Canis lupus familiaris: one gene and its partner. The protein of the gene in region 1 interacts with the protein of each later gene in a pairwise test. Links are inferred from orthologs where the notes say so. Each region holds a gene or a part of one and is shown on either strand. Other genes may lie near its edges.

Evidence for each region.
Region 2: the proteins of EFEMP2 (region 1) and IL16 interact in binary tests that used the Homo sapiens proteins (3 or more experiments, as listed by UniProt). The two-hybrid records come from large-scale screens. The link is inferred for Canis lupus familiaris from reciprocal best matches to the Homo sapiens genes EFEMP2 and IL16.

Annotation. Positions count from the first base shown.
Region 1 is NC_049239.1:51,896,111-51,898,726, forward strand, and holds the end of EFEMP2 (EGF-containing fibulin-like extracellular matrix protein 2), read left to right. Parts: intron 1-45; coding exon 46-172; intron 173-438; coding exon 439-634; intron 635-1,511; coding exon 1,512-1,673; 3' UTR 1,674-1,815; downstream 1,816-2,616. Other genes in the region: crossover junction endonuclease MUS81, read right to left, coding at 2,570-2,616. UniProt on the Homo sapiens protein: Plays a crucial role in elastic fiber formation in tissue, and in the formation of ultrastructural connections between elastic laminae and smooth muscle cells in the aorta, therefore participates in terminal differentiation and maturation of smooth muscle cell (SMC) and in the mechanical properties and wall integrity maintenance of the aorta.
Region 2 is NC_049224.1:56,966,727-56,970,539, reverse strand, and holds part of IL16 (pro-interleukin-16), read left to right. Parts: intron 1-1,566; coding exon 1,567-2,045; intron 2,046-3,813. UniProt on the Homo sapiens protein: Interleukin-16 stimulates a migratory response in CD4+ lymphocytes, monocytes, and eosinophils. Primes CD4+ T-cells for IL-2 and IL-15 responsiveness. Also induces T-lymphocyte expression of interleukin 2 receptor. Ligand for CD4.

The DNA of each region.
Region 1 (2,616 bases):
CTGGTGGCCTGACATCTGGGTTCCAGCCCCTTTCCCCTGATGCAGACATTGATGAGTGTGAGTCAGGCGCGCACCAGTGCTCTGAGGCCCAAACTTGTGTCAACTTCCATGGAGGCTACCGCTGTGTGGATACCAACCGTTGCGTGGAACCCTACGTCCAGGTGTCTGACAAGTGAGTCCATGGGACACCAGACACCCGCCCCCACACCCCCCGCCCGCAGAAACTACAACTCTCAGAGGGCTCTGTGGCTGACTGGCTGCTGTGCAGGCTGTCTAGTGCTCCAGGGCCTATGGGAATTGTAGTCTTTCATGACTAAACCATGCAAACAGTTCTAGAAGGAGTGGGAGAATCCTTTGGGGATACCTAGTTTTAGGAATGGGACCAAACTTGGGGTATAGGCCAGGACCTCATTTGTGTCCCCATTTTGGGGTTTCTAGTCGCTGCCTCTGTCCGGCCTCCAACCCCCTGTGCCGGGAGCAGCCCTCGTCTATTGTGCACCGCTACATGAGCATCACCTCAGAGCGGAGTGTGCCCGCCGATGTGTTCCAGATCCAAGCAACCTCTGTCTACCCTGGCGCCTACAATGCCTTTCAGATCCGTGCAGGAAACTCGCAAGGGGATTTCTACATTAGGGTAAGGCTTTCCCCTAATTGCACCCCTCAAGTGACATGCATAATCCAAAACTGAATTCCAGAAAACCTTAAGTGGGAGATTTGGCTCTACCCCTTTTCTCAAAGCCCTGTCCCCCCAGGAGGTGGAATTTCTGCAGAAAGGTAGGGGTATTCTAAATTCCCTTGCTACAAACTAACAAACTACAGGTTGTTAAATGCAGTTCCAATGAGGCACTTGGACACTGGGGTTTGAGTCCTGGCACTGGTTTCCATATCTGGCCTCTGATTTGTTCACTCTTAGAACAAGGCACTGGCATGAGAAGCCTGCCCAGGTAACAGGACACAACAGGGTCTGGGGAACACAAGCAGATGGAGCTGGGCCTTGGAGAGAGAGGCAGCAGGGGTTGGTGCAGGGGTCTGGCATCCAAGAATCCAGCTCGCTGCTGGTGGAGCTATTAGGGAGAGATCCAGGCATGACTCACGAGGAGAGGGGGCCAAGGGTTTATCTGATATTAGTCCTTGTTTTCTCTTTCTGCAATTGGATGCTCTGAAGGGAAGTCAGCCAGCTCCAGGTCACCAAAGACCCCACCACTCCCAAAAGTTTCCCACCTGGCCTTGCATCATCAGTTGACCCTGATTAGACAAAAGAACTAGATGGAAAGTGTGGGAAGAGCACCAGTGGGAAATTTCTGAGGGCAGGAGCCTGGGTGCATCAGTGACAAGATGTCAAGGGTATCAGAGCTGGATGAGAGCCTGGGGTCACAGCCTGCTAGGACTCTCCATTTCACAGCCAACTGATTGTGGGCTCAAGATATGGGATGGGGAGGTGAGGCTGGGGCAGGGGTCTTGGCATGTAGGTTGACACAATCTACATGTCCCCCACCCACTATGCCCTGCAGCAAATCAACAATGTCAGCGCCATGCTGGTCCTCGCCCGGCCTGTGACGGGCCCCCGGGAGTACGTGCTGGATCTGGAGATGGTCACCATGAATTCCCTCATGAGCTACCGGGCCAGTTCTGTACTGAGACTCACCGTCTTCGTGGGGGCCTATACTTTCTGAGGTGGGGGTGGGGAGCCCTCAGGGAGGGAGAGGCTTCCTGTGGCCCAAGAGCCTGGGGCTCAGGGATGACTGTGCTCGGCTGCAAGGGCAGATGCTGTTGTGAAGAGTAGAAAGAGAAAGGCAATAAAGGGAGAAAGAAGGAGTCCTGGTGGCTGAGGTGGGTGGGTAACACTGTAGTGAACCCCTGGACTGGGGAAGTGGCCAGGCTGTGGGAGGCAGGCCAATCACCTAAAGGGGGGTATCTCCATTCGGGCTCAGGGTGCCCCATAGATAGAAGTTGGGAACTGTGTCCCCAAGACCAGGATTGATCCATGTACCATGCACATCAGAATCGGTCTGAGAATGGAGGAGATGATAAGGCTACAGACTCCAGGGACCCAGCCCAGGAACTGGAGTTTGGTTTATAACTCTACTGTAGACATTGGAGGCCTTGGGTTCTAATCCCAGTTTGGCCTCAAACTATCAATTTGACTAAACCCTAGTAGATTCTTTCTGGGCATCAGTTTTCCAATCTATAAAATGAGGCAATTAAGATTAGTGCTTTCCACATATTTCTTTTCCAAAACACAGAACTTATTATGGAAGGATATTTGATCCTATCAGGGAACTCTGATGATATAAACTAGATTCAAAGTTGTAACGCCTCACTGACTCCATCTCCTTGGTGGTCTCAGTGCTCTCCCAGGGAACCCCAGGGTCCTTAGAGCTCAGTTTAAAAACCACTGGATCTGTTGGTCTCCCCAATTTCTGCCTGGATACTTCACAAAGTCCCTGGCATCACCTCCATAATACATCAAGCTGCAAATACTTATATTTTTATTGTAGCCCAGTGGCTTAAAAGGCTGGCTAGCCCATGAAGGTGGGGGGTGGTGGTGTAGTCGGCCTCACGGGATGCCTCAGGTCAGAGGGCTGTAGCAGCAGTAGAGCTGGGAAAAGATTCTGC
Region 2 (3,813 bases), on another chromosome or scaffold:
TATGACTGAATTTTTTCTAATGAGGATGCATTATTTTATGGTCAAGATAAAGCATAAGAAATTTTTTTTCCTTTAAAGAGGATTTGAATTGTGAGCTTGGCTGACCTTGGTTTTGTCCTAAGGTTTAGGATTCTCTTCTCTGGGGCTCTCCTTCCTCTCTTGGCCTTCCAGAATGAGCTGGAGTTTGAGCAAGAGGCTGGGCCTCAGTCTGTTCCCACTCCTTTGAGCAATGATTCTAGGAACGAAATACCTGGAACAGTTTCCTGCTAGAGAAAACAGCCTCTCAGGGTTCTGTGGGTGTCCCCTGGTCCTGAGAATAGGCGTGTTGGGGGAATAACCCAGGAAGAAAGGCTGGATGAGAGGGAAGAAGGAGGCTCAGTTCATCCTCAGCTGGAGGAAATGATAGCCTCTTGGTACAAGGCTTAACACACATTCACAGGTGTTTTCTGTCTTTGATATTGAGCCCTGAAACAAGCCCAGTGGCCCTGGAATATTATTCCCATTTTATAGGTGAGAAAGTGGGGTGTTGCTGGTTGGGTTCCCCAGGGAGTCAACTGTGAGACAGTGTTTGGTAGGATGTTACCTCGGAAGGGTCCTAGCAACCAGAGCCTGTGAAGGGGAAGAGAGCAGAGGGCTGGGCAGTGGGGGAGGTGACCTGATACACAGCTTCAGCCAGCCCCTGGAGTTTGGCAGCTAAATGGCACATTAGAATCGTCTGGTTTGGGGATCCCTGGGTGGCGCAGCGGTTTGGCGCCTGCCTTTGGCCCAGGGCGCGATCCTGGAGACCCAGGATCGAATCCCACATCAGGCTCCTGGTGCATGGAGCCTGCTTCTCCCTCTGCCTGTGTCTCTGCCTCCCTCTCTCTCTCTCTGTGACTATCATAAATAAATAAAAAAAAAATTAAAAAAAAAAAAAAAAAAGAATCGTCTGGTTTGGGCAGCCTGGGTGGCTCAGCGGTTTGGCACCGCCTTCAGCTCAGGGTGTGATCGTGGAGACCCGAGATCGAGTCCCATGTCGGGCTCCCTGCAGGGAGCCTGCTTCTCCCTCTGCCTGTGTTTCTGCCTCTCTTTCTCTCTATGTCTCTCATGAATAAAAAATAAAATCTTAAAAAAAAAAAAAAAAGAATCGTCTGATTGGCAGTAATGGCTCCTCCTTTAGAGCCCATCTCCATCAGTCCCCCCATCGGTCCCTGGAAACGAGCTGCCCCTTGGGTGAGGTGGCTCCCTGTAGGCAGTCCCTGCAGAAGCTGACAATGGCAGACACCTGCCACCAGCACACCCCACAGCGGCGAGAGCAACCCCTTCCTCAATGGGCAAGTTGGAGATGCGTCTCCATATCGATCACATGGAGACTCAGCAATTTGAGCCATTTTCCCAACTTGAAGTCTACAGCTTGCAGGGGACAAGCCCATGAATCCCGGGCTCTGAATCCAAAGTGACCTCAGATGAGAAGGAGACAGCCTGGGGGTGCGGCGTGCAGCCCGGAGCAGTCCAGTTGGGGGCATGGCAGACAGTATGTTTGCCCTTCAGGCTCAGCTGTGGGAGTCCCTTGTCTTTCCATTGCAGGTGTCAAAAGGCTGGAGAGTAGCTGGCATGGGCGGCCGACCCTGGAGAAGGAGAGAGAAAAGAACTCAGCACCCCCACATCGCAGAGCTCAGAAGGTCATGATCCGCTCCAGCAGTGATAGCAGCTACATGTCGGGGTCCCCCGGGGGGAGTCCCATTAGCGGCTGTGAACAGCTGACTTCGGACCCAGAGGTCCCCACCCACAGCCCCAGCCTGTCCCTGGGGCAGGAGCCAGGGGCCCTTCCCGTGGCTCTGTCTAGGCCGCCCCAGGAGAGCCCACCCCTCCCTGGGATGCCGGACAGCCACCCACCGCTGAGACTGAAGAAATCCTTTGAGATTTTGGTGAGAAAACCCACGACCTCCAAACCCAAGCCTCCTCCCAGAAAATATTTTAAAAGCGACAGTGACCCTCAGAAGAGTCCGGAAGAGAGAGAGGACCCCCTGTGCCCTTCTGGGCACACCTTGCCCACGTGTGGCCAGGTAAGAGAGGCATCTCACAGGTTGAACATTCTCCTGAGCTCCAGAGCCCAGAATTGTGGTTTTGTTGCTACCTGTTTATTTGTATCTTCTGCACGGTCGTTCTTGAGCTCAAGCAGCAGCGTTAGCCACGGGGGAGGCAGGTTGCCCTGCTGTGTTGGAGAGAAGAGGCTCAGCTCAAGCTTCGGGCGGACCGTGCAGATTCGAAGCTTGGCGGATCCCAAGCTGAAGCCCCATTCCTGCTGGCTGGCTTCTGGGTTCCCTTCTAAAATATACTGGAGCTTACTACTGCTTTTGAGAGGCGTGTGTGGGGGGTCATTTCCAGGCTTACCTTGGTGCGGGGTGGGCAGACAGGCTGTGCCATCTACGTGGATGCCCGGTGGAATCTCAGGCCCACGAGCCTTCATGGCTGTGCTCCTTCCTGCAGCATCTGTTCAAGACCTGGCTTCCTTCCTCTGCAGCCGCAGGCCACCCCTGTGGGAAGGCAGGCCGTTGGCTGGGCAGCTGCTGCACTGTGGGCCATTTGCATGCCCGGGCCCTGTGCTGAGCACTACACAGCCACTGCCCTAGTCCAGCCCTACCCCCCTGGGGGTGAGGTGCCCACCCCCCGAAAGAGTTGGCTGAGCTCAAGCCCTCATGGCCAGCGGCTTGAGCGCTGGGAGACCCTGCCTCTCACAGCCTGGGTCCCAGAACTGCCGTGGCCAGGCAGGTGGTGATGTGGCCTCGGGACGTCCCCTGACCGCCTGTAATTGGAGTTGACGAACCAGGAGGGGAAGAAGCCCAGGGTGCAGTGTGGGGGAGGTTTGTGTAGGAGGGGGAAGTGATGGGAGGAGGAAGCCAGCCCACTGAAAGGGAAGTGGGGTCCTGCCCAGCCCAGCGCCACCGGATGTGGTTGCTTGGCTGTGCCTAATGGGCTGGTCCAGGTGGGTGCATCCCCTGCCTCCTGCTTGAAGCAAAGGTCGTGCTTCCCCGTGGGTCCGGAAGGGCAGATGAGGAACAGGGAAGCCGAGAAGCCAGGCTTTTCACTTTTTCCTGGAGACTCAGAAAAGGAGGAGCAGTTTTGCCAGGACAGGTCTGCAGGGCCGCGGGGCTTCTCAGTGATGCCCCGGGGGTCCCCGGCCAGAGCGGGCAGCAGGTGTGCCTAGGCCAGTGGGCTGGAGGAAGACGCGGGTTTCTGCCGGCGGGGGCTCCAGTGTGGGCACTTTCTCCGAGCAGCCCTCCCGGGGCTGGGGCTGGCTGTCCGGCCTCCTCCGCCGCCCTTGCCGGGGTCAGCAGCACCCTTTCCGGTGCCTCCGCTCTGTCCCACGTGGCCAGCAGGCCCTGCCCAGCCAGCACAAACCACATGACACACTCCTACTGGGAGTGGGAGTCCCAGTAGGGAAAGGACAAAACTGGGAAGCAAGGCTGGACCTCACTCGAGTCCCTGTGACCATTTCTGGGGCTCTCTCCCTGGACGCGTCTCTCCGTGGCCCCAGGGAACAGCATCTCCCTGGCTGTCCCTCCCTTTCTCCCGGTTCCCTCTCTCCCGGTTCTCTCAGGACAACCCCCAAATCTTTCCCATCCTGTAACTCATCAGGATGAAACCGCCACCACCAAAATGACCCTCAGGATATTATTTTCCTCAACAGAAGACCAATTCTCTCCTTTCTAGGCAATCAACTCAGACCTATCACTGAGCCAAAAATGCACCATTGGCCCTGTGAGCCCACAGGTCTGTCTTTTCTCCTTTCCTCTCTCTCTCCCCCGACCATCGCACTATGGAAGCAGCTCA